3 linked regions of the Danio rerio genome follow. The protein of the gene in region 1 purifies or fractionates together with the protein of each later gene. This does not show direct contact. Links are inferred from orthologs where the notes say so. Each region holds a gene or a part of one and is shown on either strand. Other genes may lie near its edges.

The links. Proteins that work in one complex are often made in the same cells at the same time.
Region 2: the proteins of top2a (region 1) and top1a purify together in Homo sapiens (co-immunoprecipitation; 4 studies listed by BioGRID and IntAct, with this or other methods). This does not show direct contact. The link is inferred for Danio rerio from reciprocal best matches to the Homo sapiens genes TOP2A and TOP1.
Region 3: the proteins of top2a (region 1) and ssrp1b fractionate together in Homo sapiens (co-fractionation; 3 studies listed by BioGRID and IntAct, with this or other methods). This does not show direct contact. The link is inferred for Danio rerio from reciprocal best matches to the Homo sapiens genes TOP2A and SSRP1.

Annotation. Positions count from the first base shown.
Region 1 is NC_133187.1:11,262,209-11,268,618, forward strand, and holds part of top2a (DNA topoisomerase 2-alpha), read left to right. Parts: intron 1-143; coding exon 144-290; intron 291-430; coding exon 431-521; intron 522-1,205; coding exon 1,206-1,269; intron 1,270-1,347; coding exon 1,348-1,493; intron 1,494-1,580; coding exon 1,581-1,678; intron 1,679-3,524; coding exon 3,525-3,737; intron 3,738-4,299; coding exon 4,300-4,473; intron 4,474-5,808; coding exon 5,809-5,910; intron 5,911-6,005; coding exon 6,006-6,143; intron 6,144-6,410. UniProt on the Homo sapiens protein: Key decatenating enzyme that alters DNA topology by binding to two double-stranded DNA molecules, generating a double-stranded break in one of the strands, passing the intact strand through the broken strand, and religating the broken strand.
Region 2 is NC_133186.1:27,373,981-27,380,390, forward strand, and holds part of top1a (DNA topoisomerase I, like), read left to right. Parts: intron 1-430; coding exon 431-520; intron 521-729; coding exon 730-811; intron 812-895; coding exon 896-993; intron 994-1,186; coding exon 1,187-1,302; intron 1,303-1,586; coding exon 1,587-1,708; intron 1,709-1,810; coding exon 1,811-1,933; intron 1,934-2,012; coding exon 2,013-2,200; intron 2,201-2,280; coding exon 2,281-2,425; intron 2,426-2,868; coding exon 2,869-3,012; intron 3,013-3,229; coding exon 3,230-3,415; intron 3,416-4,654; coding exon 4,655-4,723; intron 4,724-4,816; coding exon 4,817-4,931; intron 4,932-5,005; coding exon 5,006-5,133; intron 5,134-5,257; coding exon 5,258-5,352; intron 5,353-5,469; coding exon 5,470-5,619; intron 5,620-6,410. UniProt on the Homo sapiens protein: Releases the supercoiling and torsional tension of DNA introduced during the DNA replication and transcription by transiently cleaving and rejoining one strand of the DNA duplex.
Region 3 is NC_133176.1:47,972,602-47,979,011, reverse strand, and holds part of ssrp1b (FACT complex subunit SSRP1), read right to left. Parts: intron 4,474-6,410; coding exon 4,280-4,473; intron 1,269-4,279; coding exon 1,168-1,268; intron 1,049-1,167; coding exon 919-1,048; intron 1-918. UniProt on the Homo sapiens protein: Component of the FACT complex, a general chromatin factor that acts to reorganize nucleosomes. The FACT complex is involved in multiple processes that require DNA as a template such as mRNA elongation, DNA replication and DNA repair.

The sequences.
Region 1 (6,410 bases):
ATATGTATACATATATATTCTGTATATGTATAATTATTATTAATTTTTATTATGGAATTGTTTGGATTGTCATATGATTATTTAATATTTTATTGATCATGCCCTGTGTAAAATTGGTGTAAAGTTGTTGTTAATTCTTATAGAGTTTATTTGAGAATAAGGCTCTCAGTAAGCCCAAGAAAGATGAGAAGCGTCTGTCTGTGGAACGGATCTATCAGAAGAAGACCCAGCTGGAGCATATCCTGCTTCGACCTGACACCTACATAGGCTCAGTGGAACCTGTGACTCAGGTATGGAAGAGCCACACTTCATAATGATTGGGTTATTGCCAGATCTTTAATATAACATAATATAGTCCTAGAATTAAGTTTTGAATTATTTTTCTAATAGAAACAACTTCTCTTTAATGACTTGACTTTTTATTTTTTAGCAAATGTGGGTGTTTGATGAGGATACAGGGATGAATTGCAGAGACATCACATTTGTGCCAGGACTCTACAAGATTTTTGATGAGATTCTGGGTGAGTTTATGATGAATGTCAAGCAAGCTGATGCTAACCTTTTTTTAAAATGGATTAGTCTAGCCATTATTAAAACCAATAGTTAACTATTCTGGTTATCACATCGTTCACTTAACTTGTTGGGAAATCTGGCTTAGATTGTTTTTGGCAGGTGTAGTGTTTGAAAAGATGTACCTTCATTTAACAAGGGAACACTTTTTTGTAAAAGCTTTGTGTAAATTCAAAGTTATTTGTTTCTTTTTTTTATGAATGTATTCTTAAAACAAAATGCGCGCAAAACATTGCGTGCAAGGTTTAGCAATGACAGCATTTGTTGAATGCGTTTTTTATATCTGTATTGCTTGTGCCATTGTTTTCTTGAAGATGGGTATCCTTTTGTTGTTCTAAACTAAAATCATTTGTCTTCTAAACTTGAATATATTCTTACATAAACCTGACAGATTTGTATCCCTTTATTTACAATTCTACATAATGTGTTGTAAAATATGATTATTAATCATTATTATGAATGTGCAAGTGGTTTAATTCAAGTCTGGCAAATCAGTTTATATAACAAGCGGATATAATTTAGGTTATTAGCTTTCATTTACATATCCAACACATTAAATAAGCACATTAAATATGGTAAAAGTTGAAGCATGACACATTGCTGCTTAAATGTAACATCTGTTGTCCTGTTCATAGTGAATGCTGCTGATAACAAACAAAGGGACAAGACTATGAACTGCATCAAGGTCAACATTGACCCGTAAGTACTGCTCATTCTCTCACTGGTCAGTGGTGTAGGTTGAGAATGCGTAAGTGGTGCTCATTTGTGTGTCCGCAGAGAGAATAACACAATCAGTGTGTGGAACAATGGGAAGGGTATTCCTGTGGTTGAACACAAGGTGGAAAAAGTGTATGTTCCTGCTTTGATCTTTGGCCAACTCCTGACCTCCAGTAACTATGATGATGATGAGAAGAAGGTCACAGGTAAGATTGTGCTCAAAGTTAATGGATTCCTGACAGCACTTATGTGGTGTGACTTGAAGTTGATTTGTAATTGTGTGTTGTCATCAGGTGGGCGAAATGGATATGGTGCAAAGCTGTGTAACATCTTCAGCCTAAAGTTTACTGTGGAGACTGCTTGCAGAGAGTCAAAACGCTGTTTCAAACAGGTGAGTGTTGGATACTGTGTTTTAATTAGGGCAGCAGCTATCAATTAATCTACCACTATAACCCATAGAGTATTAGGATAAACTTTCTATTTTCTTTCAAGTTATTGTCACTGAAATGCAACAGCAGTAAAAATTGCATAAATGCCAATCGCAGATACACTCAAACTTTACTGCATTCACCTCAATTTGCAGCTATTTCACTATATTCTGAATTTAAACAATGGAAGTTTTCACCAGAAGTTACGTTAACAATATAACTACAGGATAAAATAAAAACAAGCTGCATATTGCCTAAAATAAATCTAGGCAAATCAAATAAATGTTGTACAGGCAGTAAGTGATGCGTTAGTTTTCTTTTTCGTTTTTTTTTTTAACGAAGCATTGATTACTACAAATTTAATTGATTATTTTTTAAATTGATTAAATTGAAAAAAAAAAATAAGTTTCAGCCCTAGTATTAATAGTTTGCTTTAACCAATACAGTTAATTAGCTAATTACTTGTGGCTAGGAAATAAGCTATTTTATTATTATTCTGTTGGGGCAGATCAAATTTTGTCAGGGCAATTAAAAGTCTACCACAGTTAAGCGCCGATTTGGGCCAAGCAATTTACCCACATGTCATGTAGAGAAATAATGCTGCAAATTAATTAATTAAACTTTATTTCCAAGCATCAGTGAGTACGTTTACATGGACACCAATAATTAGATTTTAATGTGATTAAGACATTACTCTGATTAAGAGTCTACAATGAGTAATCATGTACCATGATTTTTGATTAATCCGATTGAGGTCATTATCGAAATAAAGAGAAACCGGATTGAGACATGTGCAGTATGCCGATGTTTTTTGCATTATTGAAGTGCAGTACAGACATGTAAACACCTTAAACTATTGCCATGTAGGACTTTTTGCTGCATTTTGCGACAGGATAGTCCACATACACACATTGCTGTTTGTCTTCTTTGCACCTACCGAGTCAGTAAAGACCACAGACACCTGCATTGTGAAATTCGTTGTTTTTTTTTCTTTTTTCTTCCATTTAGCATGCGGTATGAACTTTCATTAAAACAACACTTTTCCAGCAGTTTATAGCTGCATTCAATATCTTGTTTATCACAGGGGATGCATGAGATGTTCCAAAGTAAAAGTAAAAGTGCTAAACTGCAGTTAGTCGACAAATTAAAAATGAAACACCCAAAATTACCTGTAACTCTGGAGGAAATTTGGATAGTGTGGTGACGCAATGACATTAATCAAATTATGCGTTATAACATGTAAAACGGGATCATGAAAGCAACATTCAAAAAGCAACTCATGTTAACGTCTTAATATTAGTATTGTCTTAATTAAATCTAAATTGATGTCCATGTAAACACAGTCAATGTTGTTGGTGGCATGCTTAATTTCCTGCAGAATTCTTGGCACAATTTTGTTAATTTGGCACAACCATCTCATTGTAAATAAATTCCATATTCTTTACTGCTTGATAAAAACAATGCTGCATAAAATGCAAGTCGGACCAAGTTTGTAACGCATACACACATCTGAGATCATTTTTTTGTGTTTGTTCAAAGTCTGTGTTAGAATTCACAAGTTGCAATGATTTACTTTCGATCAATGAATCATTGCAGACTTTTCTTCTGATACATTTTTGCTCATTTTTAATGGCATTATGGCCCCCTCAAACACTTTGTGTAGCTTCATTCTGTTTGGACAGTTTACAATTCAGTGACAAATCCATTTATGTAGTGATCAGTGATTGTGATACTTAAGTTGTATGACAGTCAGATGTGATTTTGCTAGTGGCGGTCATTTACCAGAATGTTTTAATCTCTTCTCCGTAGACATGGTTTGACAACATGGGACGAGCAGGTGAATCTAAGATTAAACCCTTCGACGGTGACGACTACACCTGCATCACATTCCAGCCAGACCTGGCCAAGTTCAAGATGCAAGCTTTAGATAAGGACACTGTTGCGCTACTGACTCGACGAGCATATGACATTGCTGGATCCACTAAAGGTGTCCGTGTCTTACTTAATGGAAAGAGGCTGCCAGTAAGTTATATTTATTGCATTTACCCTTAAACCCATGTTCATTGTATTTTTGTATATTTTTATTTTATTTTTTAATAAGTTGCAAGAGAAATGGGATGCATTGGAAAATAATAAATTGTAGGAATATCCAACCTGAAATCTCAAACTGAATTTTAAAGTCTAGATTTGATCAAGTGATTTTTACCCGATGTTGTTGGACACCAGATTAAATCTTTTTGCTTAAAGATGAAGACCCCACTCAATGTTGTACTGCACAACTCCCCGTGCTGTAAGATACATTTTACTGCACTGTCCTGCTTTTAATGACTCCAGAAGACTATTTTTATGAAATGATCTCTCTCAAGGACATTTTTAACAAAGTGACACCAGGAAAATTTTTGAATTCTTATGATGAATTAACACTAAAAATCTTATTTGGGTTATGTACTTATTTGTTTGTTGTTTTTATTTGTATATTTATTATTGAAATAATCTTGCCATGAAAATGGCTTTGATTGCTGACATGGCTGTAAATAAATACATTACATTTTAAATTTATGTTTAAATTCTTTTTGTCTTTCAGATTAATAATTTCCGCACCTATGTGGACTTGTATGTGAAGGATAAGGTGGATGAAACTGGTTCTCCCCTGACAGTAGTTCACGAGATGGTGAATGAGCGCTGGGAAGTGTGTCTTACCCTTAGTGAAAAAGGGTTCCAGCAAGTCAGCTTTGTTAACAGCATCGCCACAACTAAGGTAATCATAGTGTCTGTGGGGTCTTAAAAAGTATTAAAAGTTGATCAATAATGAGAAAATTAAGGCTTTTAAAAGGTGTTAAAGTCTTAATCAGGTTTTAATGAGGTCTTAAATTTTGTTCAAGCGTTGTCTAAAGTGTTTAACTCCAAAAAAGCATAAATGTATTCATTTTCCTTGATCCTTGCAATTGGTTTGAGCCAAGGCACGTTTAGCCAAGCTCCTCCATTCGGGTGACGTCATGTAATTTGCGGCAAACATGGAAAGGTGACGTGACACTTTCCACATATAGCGAACCCATAGAGTGGAACAGATAGCAAAATGGGAAAATGTAAGTTTGAGTACTTCTGATTTGAGAAAGATGGGTTTAAACAGTGGCTGAAGCCTGTCGCCAACAAAACAATCACGTTTGTTTCTTCCAGGCTTCTCTGAGTTTTGTTACACGGTTGTGCTTCATTGATTTATTGAACTACAACTGTTTATTAATATCTGTTTATTAAGGTCAAAGTTTAATATGGATTAGGACTTAGTGGCAATGAAGTCTTAATATATTCTAAGAAGGTCTTTAAAAAGTCTTAAAAAGGTATTAAAATTAACTTAAGGATTGCTGCATATACCCTGGTAATGTATTCAGATGAATAAACAGCCTTTTCAAAACTGTTCAAAAATGTTTTTTTAATAAATCTTCAATCAAACAGATGCGTCACATATTCTAAACCAGATCTATTGATTATTTAATGTCTACAAAATATAATGTAGTGTGTAAAGTTTTTTTGAATTCTTTTATTTGCTAGCAGTGGTTGGAAGGGAGGGATTTTAGCGTATCTTGCCTAAGCTGTCAATCATCTGACAAGAAATGCCATTATAAAGTGAAAGCAAATGTGTAGAATATGTATAAGATAATGTAAGTTGTATAAAGTTAGCTTTTTTTTGTAGATTTGGTGACTTTAATTTAAAAATGTATTAACATAAATAATAATTGGGTAAGCTAAAAGTGTCTGTAGTGTATATGTGTGAATGAGGGTATGAGTGTTTCCCAACGATGGGTTGCAGCTGGAAGGGCATTCACTGCGTAAAAACATGCTGGATAAGTTAGTGGTTCATTCCGCTGTGGCGACTCCAGATTATTAAAGGGACAAGCTGAAAAAAAAATGAATAAATGAATTAACATAAATATTTAATAAGGTACATGCATACAGTAAAGTTTCGTTGTGACAAACCAAGTCAATTTTCATTTTAAAAAGTCAAAAGCCAAGTTTCTTTCAGTTCAGTTTTAAAGCAGCCCTACACAAATCGTTTTTCAGCTTCATTTGGTCATTAAAATGCTGTGTGTTTCAGGGTGGCAGACACACAGACTATGTTGCAGATCAGATTGTGTCCAAACTGATTGAAGTAGTGAAAAAGAAGAACAAGGCTGGAGTAGCCGTCAAACCTTTCCAGGTACATTCAGATGTTCTGCAAACTGCATCAAATAGTATTGCCTTCTCATGGCATTCTAAATTAATCACCATGTGCTGGTTTAACTTTGTGTGCAGGTCAAGAACCATATGTGGTTGTTTGTGAACTGTCTGATAGAGAACCCCAGCTTTGACTCCCAGACGAAAGAGAATATGACCTTGCAGCAGAAGAATTTTGGTTCTGCCTGCTCTCTGAGTGACAAGTTTGTTAAGCAGGTAAGAACTGATTTCTCGATCATTCATTGCTGTAAAAAATCATGGCATAATGGGTGAGAGTTTAGAGTTAATATAAATATGTTAGACGTATTTTACTGGTTAGTGCATGTTACTTGAGTTTTTTCAACACATTATTACCATAAAACAAAGAGAATGGGATTTACATGCAAAACAAACTTGACAAAATTACCCTTAATGTTAGAAAAGATTTCAACAAATTCTCCAACCAGTGGAACCAGTGGTTTCTCCCACATGCTCTTATTTGTA
Region 2 (6,410 bases), on another chromosome or scaffold:
CTCACAAAATATGAAAATCCCAGTGTATTTATGTTTGGCCAGTAGTTTAACATGTTGTAGAACAAATATTCTGCTACTGTTGTTATGATTCACATAATGAGCATGTCTTTTTGTATACTTTTCTAAATGCTTGTGGTTTAACACCACCCAAAATCTTGAAGTCATGTAAAAGAGCAACAGTGTTACAACAAAAAAATCTTTAAATGTTGCGGAAATCACCCTTATGCTGAAGGGTTTGGAGAATTACTGTATGTTTTCATTCTTAAGAGAAATCAAAGTGTTTCTTTATGATAAGATCCCTTTTAGGATCCACAGAATGGATGTAATCGCATAAATAGAAACATGAATTTATCTTGAGCCAATTTAAAAGGCTTCTCTTATTTGGTCATGTGAGTGAGAAAATGAATAATGGTTTTCATCCTTCACACAGCCCTCACATTAAATCTGAACCTGACAGCGATGACTTCTATCACTCTCCTAAACTAGAGAAGTCTCTGAAGAGAGAGCGGGATGATGACGAGTAAGTGACATTGTGTTTGCAGGACATCTTGAACTCACTTGTGACATTAAAACAAACTTGCAATCCTCTGTAGTCACGAAAGCTCCCTGTTCCTCTAATCTTTGTTTAAAATGGTAACCATTAGAGTGAATGAGACAGTGATTGTCTGGTATTTGAACGGTGTGTGTGTGGTTGCAAGGCATTTTGACATTTTGTTTTGTTTCATTCAGTGGTGATTACAAGCCCAAGAAAATTAAAACTGAGGATGACAGAAGTGAAAAGAAAGCAAAGAAACGGAAACAGGAGGAAGAGGTAAACTAATGAAGTTACTGGCTTATCTCTTTAGATTACACTTTCCAAGGTGTCAGTAATTTTGAATCTTTTGATTTGCCATAGGACATAAAGCCCAAAAAGAAAACAAAAGACAAGAAAGGAGAAGTTGCCACAGATGGCAAGAAAAAGGCAAAAAAGGAGCCAGAAGAGAAGTGGAAATGGTTAGTCTCACATCCTCTGATGGTCAAGTAATTGTAGGCTGACTCCTTGTCTTGAGTCTGTTTTGATTTTATTCGGGGATATGGTGCTGATCACAAATGTCCTTTTTCCGGCACTTTGCAGATCCATTTTGGTTGCCTGCATTGGGATGTTGGTTTACCTCCTTTCCTCTTTGTGCTTTTTTATACCATTTAGGTGGGAGGAAGAAAGGTACACAGATGGAGTGAAATGGAAGTTTCTGGAGCACAAAGGACCTGTCTTTGCACCACCATATGAGCCTTTGCCCAGCAATGTCAAGTTTTATTATGACGGTATGTCCTTCAATAGTTCTCTTGAAGTGCAAGAAGGGGGTTTGCCATCTGTCAAAACTGTTAAAGAAGCGGGAGTCGGACTGTGAGATCTTCAAATGTTTGAAACCACTCCTTTTTTCTCTTTAAATGAACAAACTAAAATTTTATATTGTCCATCTTTTTTAATTGGCATTGCATGAGGAGTATTTAGATATTGTGGATTTAGTAACTTTTGTTAAGATAGATTCTGCTCTATTGCTGTTGTTTTTAATCTGGTTTTTATGGGTTTTATGTTCTGTCACCAGGGAAGCATATGAAACTCAGCCCAAATGCAGAGGAGGTGGCCACCTTCTTCTCAAAAATGTTGGACCACGAGTACACCACTAAAGACATCTTTCGTAAAAACTTCTTTAAAGATTGGAGGAAGGTAACGTTGTTTGGAAAGTGTTTCTTGCTATTACAAAGGCACTTTTTTATTTATTTATTTATTTTTTTATTAGATTAATCCTGCATGGTTTTCTCATTTTAGGAAATGACGTCTGAAGAGAAATCCAAAATCACTGATCTAAATAAGTGTGACTTCTCTAATATGAGTGAATATTTCAAAGCTCAATCTGAAGCCAGGAAGGCAATGACTAAAGAAGAAAAACTGGTGAGATTGGAGATCTAAATTAAGAAATCATTCTGCTGGTATAATATTTAAACCACAAATGTTTTTTTTTCTTGATCAGAAAATCAAAGAAGAGAACGAACGCATTCTGCAGGAGTATGGCTTCTGTATTATGGACAATCACAAAGAGCGCATTGCCAACTTTCGAATTGAGCCTCCAGGCTTGTTCCGTGGAAGAGGTGACCATCCTAAAATGGGCATGCTGAAGCGTCGTATCCGACCCGAAGACATTATCATTAACTGCAGCAAGTAAGCAGCATTCATTAGAGCCCAAAACCACCCCCTTGGTGGAAAAAAAAATTCTTATCAGTTTTTTTTTTGTCTTTTAGGGACTCAAAACATCCTACACCGCCTCCCGGGACAAAGTGGAAGGAGGTACGTCATGACAACAAGGTGACATGGCTGGTGTCCTGGACCGAAAACATCCAAGGCTCCATCAAATACATCATGCTGAACCCCAGTTCGAGGATCAAGGTGAACTAGCACTATCCCAATACAGTTAGTTGTGTACTGATTTAAACCAATGATTTTTCTCATGTTAAGATTATTTAATGTAGCATAATAATTTTTTTTATGCTGTTTCAGAAATCCTCATCTGTTTCTATCTATTAATTTACTTTGGAAAATCTGATATTGTCTAGTTATATACCTTATAGTTTTGAATAAGATTTTAGAGAAAATCTTAATTTTCTGAATTGGTTTTCAATGTTTTGCTGCATGTTTGTGGAAACCATTATTTCAGCAATTATTTGAAATGCATGTGTTTGTCAATAAATTAGTCTTTGCTAGGTGTAGATATATATTTTTTTGGATTCATAAATTAAATCTTCATTTATTCTTCTTAATGCCTTAATGAGAAAATGATCAGTGTTGGCTAGACCTTTAATATCAGTGCAAACCTCATTGTTTTCTTACAGGGAGAGAAGGATTGGCAGAAATATGAAACAGCCCGTCGGTTAAAGAAATGTGTGGATCGGATCCGTTCGCAGTACCGCGATGACTGGAAATCAAAAGAAATGAAGATCAGACAGCGTGCTGTTGCTCTTTACTTCATTGACAAGGTTTGCATGCCTCAATGTAATATCCTTCATGTCAGGCTCATGACCCTGAAAGCATGTGATGAATAGGTTAATTCAGAATTCCTCTTTAAAAGCACTTAAAGCGTTTGGTTCAGTTACTAACATTTCAATGGGTGTACGTTTGCTGTGAAATTTTTGAGCTAAAGCAGAAGCTGAAAAGCAGAACAGTGTTATGAATCTCTGTATTTCTCTGGTGTAGCTGGCTTTGAGAGCAGGTAATGAAAAGGAGGAAGGAGAGACTGCTGACACAGTGGGCTGCTGCTCACTTCGAGTGGAGCATCTCACTCTGCATCCAGAGATGGACGGCCAGGAGTTTGTGGTGGAGTTTGACTTTCTTGGTAAAGACTCCATTAGATACTACAACAAGGTCCCTGTAGAGAAGAGGGTAAGTATTTGATTTTATCTTATTCTTGTATTACATTTGCTCTGTTTCAATATCTAGCGAGTTGCCTACAGGGGAAATATTGTAGGGTATAAAAAAATACACATGTGAAGGAGGTTTGTTTAATTTAAGGCTGTGGATCAAAAATAAAACCTTGTGCCAAATTAATCTACAACAGTGATTTTTTTCATACAAACATTGGTTCATATATTTGATGCCAGTACTTAAAAATTTACACTGAATTATAGTGCATTTAATGAATTAAACCAGTATTATTTAATAAAATTATGTTAAGCTGTTTTTTCTTATTTTCTTATGCATTTAAAATGTAAAATCATCTTTATTTGTTTTGAAATGATTAAACATTCAATTGATTCAATTTTAAGCTGATTAGTAACGTAAACCTCTATTTTACAATTATTTTTAAGAATTGCAAAAAAGTTCAGTCTATCTGAGATGGTGTATGAGGCAGAGTAAATGTTGAATTATAAACGCTTGATTCAATATTGAAAAGATTACCCAGAGGTCCGCTGTGCTCTTGTGTGGTGCGCAGATTGCTGATGTAGAGCGTTCCAAATCAGTCACTTACGAGGTTCCTTTTCAGTTAAGATGCTGCCTGAGGCATCTCATTAGGTTTTGGAACAGAGCTAATATATCCCAAACTCTGCCGCCCGTGTCCCTAAACCAAAAAGTCCATTCGCCAGCAACTTCACAGGTTACTAATCGCATGCAATAAAGTCCTAATTACAGTTTTTAAAGCTTGTCACGGTCTAGCACCACGATACTCCGCTGAATTGATCCATTGTTATGCTGTTGCGCACACACTTAAGACCTTCGTCACCCAGATATTAGCTTTTTAGTAAGTTTTGATTGTCCTACACGGGCTGTAAATGCTTCTAGGTGTACCAAGATGTTGTGATCTCCCTCAGGTCTGCGTGATGTTCTGTCTCTGATTGCACAACACGTTTACTTGCATCTCCATGTTCATTGCGTCTTGTTTGTCAGTCATCAATTTATGCCAGGTTTTGCTGTTTGCAATCAATTTTTGTGTGTGTTTGGGGTTGTGGTCTTTTGTGCTCTTCAACTGTCCTTGAGTTTGTGAAAGGCTCTGCGCGAATCAAATGTTCACCAGTTTACTGTGCCCTAGTACAAATTGAAATCTTCTCATCTGAGGGCTATTGATTAGCATGGTCGTGTGTTCTGCTTCTGCCTTTTGTGTAAAATCCCTTTTAAATGTTACAGGTTTTCAAAAATCTCCAGCTTTTCATGGAGGATAAGGAGCCAGAGGATGACCTCTTTGACCGTCTCAATGTAAGCAGTCACTTTCACCAGTCTGTTATTTATGGCATGCAGAGGAGAATCTCAATTCTGAATGCATCTCATTAATTGTAAACCATCTTGCAGACCTCCATTTTAAACAAGCATCTTCAGGAGTTGATGGACGGCCTTACGGCTAAAGTGTTCCGTACTTACAACGCCTCCATCACACTACAGCAGCAGCTGAACGAACTCACTAACTGTAAGTCCTGCACGCACCAGATTGAGCAGAGCTGCTGGAAACGCATCATATGTGACGCTTGTGTGTTTGTTTAGCTGAAGATAATGTTCCTGCGAAGATCCTCTCCTACAATCGGGCCAACCGAGCGGTAGCCATCCTGTGTAACCACCAGAGGGCACCACCAAAGACCTTTGAAAAGTCCATGCAGAATCTTCAGACCAAGGTATGAGACGTTGGCGAACTTGTCCTTATTGTTGTCTTCATGCTGGTATTTCTTTGTTAGCGCAGGGTCTGTTGGACCATCTAAATGTTTGCCTTTCCCGCATTCACTTGTTCATTAAAACCAGATTGACGCAAAGAAGGAGCAGCTTGTTGAAGCTAAAAGAGAGCTGAAAGGTGCCAAGGCTGACGCCAAAGTACGCAAAGATGAGAAATTCAAGAAGTGAGTGTCAAAATATTTGCTTGAAGGGCGCCCAACTGAATTTGGCCTCTTTGTCGCTCATTGTGCATTCGTATGTGATTGTATTCTGCTTTAATGTTGATTCTTTTGGCAACGCAGAGCTGTGGAGGCCAAGAAGAAAGCGCTTCAGAGGGTGGAGGAGCAGCTGATGAAGCTGGAGGTTCAGGCCACCGACCGCGAGGAGAACAAACAGATCGCTCTGGGGACCTCCAAACTCAACTACCTGGATCCACGCATCTCTGTAGCCTGGTGAGATTACCACCGTACCGTACACATCCATTTGTTAAAAAAAAAAAAATCTGATTTACATGTTGTGACGTGAAAACAGTTTCAGCAGATGGCTTGAGTAGCTCTAGTAAGAATTCAGGTAGAGATATTTAACACTCAAATGTAAAATAGCACTGTGTAGTACTGAATTAGGCATTGGCTAGTATAAGATTCTGACGGTATGATAAAAATATGAATGTTTCACAGTATTGTGATTACTGCTCTAAAATAAATATATTTTTTTAACTGTCTGGGTAAAAAACTTTTCCCCCCTTTAGTACACACAATATTTTATTTTGAGAAACGGTGATTATATTTTTGAACCGTAAACTTGTCGGGCTAAACAGTTCAAATCAATCATTGACTTCTGCTGTCTTCAGTTTCAAAAACACACAATTTAATACAGCACTTTGCATCTTTTCTGCTTTAAGATACTGTTGTCCGTTAAAAACAACAACAAAAAAAGTCAAGTAAAACAAATCTTTCATATACCTTAGGAACGGAATAGCAAAAAATGTGCCAGTTTTAAAACCTTGACTGTTGCAAACCGTGGTAAACCTTGGAAACAGTTATGCCTATGTTAAATAAAATAATTCTTATTAAAGTTACAAATGGTACAATTTCCTGTGGCTGATTGATTTAAACTCTTGATATGCTCATATACAGTCACAGGCCTTAAAAAACCGGCAAATAAAAAACTTTTGCTCCATTATAGTAAAATATAATCCTATTATATTATTAGACAAAACAATATAATCCCAGTTCAACATGCA
Region 3 (6,410 bases), on another chromosome or scaffold:
GGTTTGATCATTGCGGTTGCGGATTTTCAATTATTTACAGTGTTTTCTTACAGAAACATACATTAAATAAGTTACTGGCGAGTTACTAATGTGCATTCATGTTATAGATATTTATCTTTAAAAAAGCAGGAATCTCATGCGACAGTACAAAACAGTACTGCTGCTTCAGGATATTTCAGACATATAGACACAATGGATAATTAAGTGGAGCAAAGCCACATCACATGTAACTTGATCTTCCATGGTTAAATAAATTTAAAAAGAACTGCGCAACAATTTCCCGCTAGAAAGCATGTTTTATGCAGGAATGTAACTGATATAATCTTGCAGCGGCCCCTTTAAATATCAGATCAATGTTTTGAATTTTGACACTCTCGCCGCCAGAGCTGAAGGCAGACAGCGTTGTCGCTAGGGCAGCCAGAGTGACCTTAGACGCTCTCACCGCTTTTGGGGTGATCGCACAATTAGGGTGTCATGACAGTCTTATGAACACCTCTTCAAGTAGTTACCACCCTGTCTTACTATATATATTGACAACACACAACAAAAATAAATGAATGCTATGATAAAGCTGTTTAATACTAGCTAGAAAAAATGGATCCAGATCCATCAAATTTGTATAGTTTTAAATTTGTGAACACAAAAAAATATGATATGACAATTAGCATATCACAGTGAGCATAAAAAATACATGTAATAGCCATAATGCAGGGAGTTGTGCAATAATAATCACAACCGCAATAATAAAAAGGGCTATCTTTGAAAGAATGAAAGAAATATAAATTATGAAAGAAATATAATAAAAAATAATATAAATTAAGAAGATTTTTTTAATGTATCAAAGGTTAAGTAAAGGTAATATTAATGGTTCCAGATCCAAATAAAAGATTGCTTTATAGACCATGATCCTCCACTCACCACGAAGAACATTTGCCGCTGGTCTTTATGAGGCAACAGGAAGAGGCGGAGCACTGTGGTGTACGGGATCTTGTAGTCAAATGTCTTACCGTGTAGATGAAGGAATGTTGGATAAATACGGATATCGTACCTAAAGAGAGAGCAAGAAAAATCAAATCACACAATGCCAGTTCACACCTTTGACATTTTTATGTTAAATAAACAACCAAAAAGTATGATGAGAGTATCCAGATGTGTGTATGTATGTACCTGCCCCTAGGCGTGAGGCACTGCAGCTCTCTGAAGATACAAACAGCATCTCCTGTGGCCTGGATGACATCTGCCTTCGACAGCACATTCTGAGCAAATGCCTGAAACATAACGGTTTTCATTACTTCTCAGATTAAGCGGGATTTACAGATATAAATATTGTACAGTAGGACTACAAGAAGAGGGACAGAGGTTTTACGCAAATGTTTAGACGTGTCCCATTGCTTGAAGTCTTTTCTCTTATAACAGGCATCACCAAACTTGTTCCTGAAGGGCCGGTGTCCTACAGATTTTAGCTCCGACCCTAATCAAACACACCTGAACAAGCTAATCAAGGTCTTATTAGGTATACTTGAAACACCTAGGCAGGTGTGTAGAGGCAAGTTGGAGCTAAACCCTGCAGGGCACCGGACCTCCAGGAACGAGATTGGTGACCCCTGCCTTATAACATTTCGTCACCTTGGAATTGTAAGATTCTATCTGCGTTCTAATGATTTTGAGATATTGAGCTTCGAAGTTTTCGCATTTCATATAGGAAACAATATGCATGTAACAGTTCTCTTTCTTACATTAACATGACAGAGAGCCTAAATGTACTCTAAATGTAAAATATCAAAATTGTCTTAAAAAAAAAACTGGGTGAATGCAGATGCAGAACCTTGTAATTCTAAAAAGTCTTATTCTGCTTAGAATTATAAGGTTCTATCTAGCAGATCAATAATTGAAGCATTGCTTTTCAAAAATACGATCAGTCTGCTTATTAATTTAAAAAATAAAAACTGGTATGTTTTATTAAGTTGTTGTTATATTTTTGCTTTCTATGACTTTATTTAATGTTTTAGGATGAAACTTGTTTCTTGTTCAAATGAACCATACAAGGCTGTGCTAAATATTTTGTCCAGTGCAGCTGTTAATTGTACACTAAGAATTGCTAGGTTATTTACACCCAAACTGGGTAAAATATGGACTAACTCAAGCATTGGGTTTAATTTAGTCTTTATTTATTTAATTAAAAAATTAACTCTGCAGTTGGTTTAGTCCATATTACACCCAGCATAAGGCTGAAATACCCCTAGCATTTTTAAGAGTAAATGTAATTAATATGGTAATATTTATTGAATATATGCTTTATAAAAATAATTGAATTATATTTATTGAATTATATGCCGCATTAATTAAATTATCTAATATTTGCCCTTCGAGGTTTAAGATTAAATTTAAAGACTCTAAAAAAACGCAGACAATGAGTGAATGAGTTTTAATAAACACTGAAAAATGTTTCACTGACAATATATACACAAATAAAAATATTTCACATTTAATATATTACATTTTTTAAATAACTGTTTCTTTTTCAACAATGTAAAATTGAACCTGCTTCTAAATCATCACATTTACACACATCTTTTCAGTTTCAGGTTTCTTTTTAATTTTGTGAGGTGCGGCATAATTTAGTCGACTTGTATTGTGTTTCCTTCTGGTCTTTCCAGCTGTCGACAGAGCAATCTGGCGAAATGACAAAGAAAGCTGTTCCTGATTAGTCCTCGTGGGTGCATAAGAATGGCTCACAGAAAAAAACTTATAAAGCCAAGACAGAGTTCGACTTTGTAGTTTTGTAAATAAAACCTCTTCAAATGTAAGCAACTAAAAAAACATTCCATAATGTAAATAAGTTGTCATTTAATAAGAATATGTGAATAACTCAATTTTGACAAAAATGTCAGATAGAATCTTATAACTCTAAAGTGACAATATTTTAATGATCATTCAAAAGCTTTAAAAATAAATATCCTTTATGAAATCATTACTTTTGTATATGCCACATTTAAAGCTTTTAGATTGTCCCAACCAACCCCCCAGTAGGTGTCAATCTTCATATTACAAAATGCACTAGACTATTTTATAATCTTAAAATTTATTTAATCTTGAAAAAGGACATAAACATGCATTTGACAATCAGGACTCCATATTTAGTGTCTGTTTTGTAATAGACGTACTAAATGCTTTGACAGAAACTGATTGATTTGTGACACAGAAATGAATTTCAGTATCACCTGCTGTGTACTTTTATGTAACTGCAACTTTATTTTTAACTACAAGTTTTAGAACATACCTTAATTAGACATGGCCATTTAAGTTGGGATAGAGCCAATAAATGAATAAACAAAATAAAAAAAAAAGATATAATGAACTAATTAAAATAAATAAATACAACTCAGTTGATATGTATTGTATTACAGTTGAAGTCAGAATTTTTTGCCCCCCTGAATTATTAGACAGCTTGTTTTTTCCCCCCCCAACTTCTGTTTAACGGAGAGAAGATTTTTTTTCAACACATTTCTAGTCATAATAGTTTTAATAACTCATTTCTAATAACTGATTTATTTTATCTTTGCCATGATGACAGTAAATAATATTTTACTAGATATTTTTCAAGACACTTCTATTCAGCTTAAAGTGACATTTAAACGCTCGACTAGGTTAATTAGGTTAACTAGACAGGTTAGGGTAATTAGGCAAGTTATTGTATAACGATGGTTTGTTCTGTTGACTATTGGGAAAAAAATTGCTTAAAGGAGCTAATAATTTTGTCCCTGAAATGGTCTTTAAAAAATTAAAAACTGCTTTTATTGTAGGCAAAATAATACTAATAAGACTTTATCCAGAATAAATAATATTATCAGACATACTGTGAAAATTTCTTTGCTCTGTTAAACATCATTTAGGAAATATGTAAAAAAGAAGAAAAACTAATTCAAAGGGGGGCTAATCTGACTTCAACTTTAATTCTTAGTTATAATTAAAAATGTAGTATTTATTTATTTTTCATGTTTTTATTTTGTCATTTTATATATTGTTTAATTTTTTATCCGTCTAACGGTATATTGAGTAAAAATTATATTTTCCAAATAATATTTCACTAAATGTACGCAAATATTACTTGCATCTTTATAAATGAAATCTTCATACAAGGACCCAATGGTGATGGTTATATTTGGGCATCTCTAATTTTAAGACTAAAAAAGGCTCCTGCTTTAGGGGAATTGATCTCTTGGTAACCTGCGCCATCTGCTGGTCAGTGTTAGACTGGGATGAACATGCACACTCTTACCTCTACCGGGTCTGAACCCTCGTCCCCTGTGGTGGGTGGGACGTAGAAGCGCACCTCCATGAGAGACACCTCTGTGTCATCATTCTGATGAAACTCCACTGTCACCTCATTCTTACCCGTCGTACACTGGGATACACTGGAGAGAGGAATCTCAAATGTAGGGCTGTCATTCACGTCAAAGGAAAGCAACGGCCCTGAAAATACACAGGAGAGCAGTTTAACACATAGATGAGGCCGATTTTTTAAGCTGAGTTTAATAAAATACAAAGCTTGAACATGGTTAGTTATTAACAGTGTTTCATTGTTCGGCCCTGGGGTAACGTTCAGTGCTTGGCTGTATCAGAAGGAAGTAGACCTGTGCCAAATGACGACAGTATATAAATTTTTCTGCTTTAGCAACCCTGACAGAGTTACAGAGGGACAGAGAGCAGCCTTTACTGTTTCTATATAAAGTATTTCATTATATATTGTGGTCAACAGGTCAACAACTTAAAAATGTACCAAACTATGCTTTAAAAATGTATCATTACTATTATAATTGACACACACACACACACACATACATACATATAAATATATATATAGAAATATAGAAATAAATTTTTACTTGCATAGAGCTTGATACTGTAAGCCTCTTTTACTATTTGTTGCATTATAATGAATAAATAAATAATGAATAAATAGGTGGCGCAGTGGGTAGTGCTGTCGCCTCACAGCAAGAAAATCACTGGTTCGACAAACGACTGGGTCAGTTGGAATTTCTGTGTGGAGTTTGCATGTTCACATGGGTTTCTTCCGGGGTACTCTGGTTTCCCCCACAGTCCAGACTCCAAAGACATGCGGTACAGGTGAAATGAATAAGCTAAATTGGCCATAGTGTATGGGTGTGAATAAGAGTGTATGGGTGTTTCCCAATGTTGGGTTGCAGGTGGAAGGGCATCCACCGCATAAAACATATGCTGGATAAGTTGGTGGTTCATTCCACTGTGGCGACCCCAGATTAATAAAAGGACCAAGTCAAAAAAGAAAATGAATAAATGAGCCGATATATCCACTGTCCCATTAAGCAGGGTCTAAAATGAAAACATTTTTGAAAGCAAGGAAAAAACAACAACTATAAATCTAAGCTTTGTAATGGCACTGTTGTTATTAATAATGTAATTACGTTTATTTACACAATGTATATTTATTAAAATTATATTAATTGTATTATTATAAAAATAATATTACTGTTATATACTGTGCAATAGTATCACAATAATATATATTTTATGGACTTATTACATTTTTATAATTAATTGAAAAAAATCTAAAGCAAATTGTAATTACAATTGAAAGTAAAATGCTACACAGAATGCATTGCTTATTTTGTCTTACAATAAAGTCAGCTGGCGAAAAGGCGAGGCGAGAACATCTTGTAAGACATCTTGTATGTCCTGCTCTTAGTGCTCCAACAGCCTGAGTATTTACAACATTTACACTACAACATTATGTATTTACCTTGAATTAGCTACATCATGTTTAATAATATGTATTTTTGTATTTATTACATTTTTATAATTAGTTAAAAAAATCAAACATTTTAATTACAATTACCGATTCACATCACCATACATAACATACAAGAAACCTATTTTTATAGTGTTATTTTGCTTTTGATTATTAAAAAGCTTTAAAGATATGTTCATCGAAAGGTTCTTTGATATGGAGCGAATAATATGCCAAAACAATCTGAATTTTCTTCACTGTTGATGACCCCTGACCTACTTTTTGCTAAATCTGAATTTCACAATCTGATTTTCTGGTTTTAAAATTTAAAATATTGAATTCGATGCTCTGAATTTCTTCATCTTGAAAACTCAAAACTGTATTTTCACAAGCTCAATATCTGCAATCTATAAATTTAGAACGAAAAAATCTGAAGTTTGAAAATACGTCAATAGAAATCTGAAAAAATTCAGTTGTCTTAAATTTCAGATGTTCAATATTCAAGTTAAGAAATTCAAATTCAAACAGTTTAATAGCATTTAATATTAAATTTTATTAAATTACAATTGCTATTGTGATTCAAATTTGCACAATTTAAATTCAGATTGTTTTTCCATATTATTTGCTCCATACTTTTGGAAGA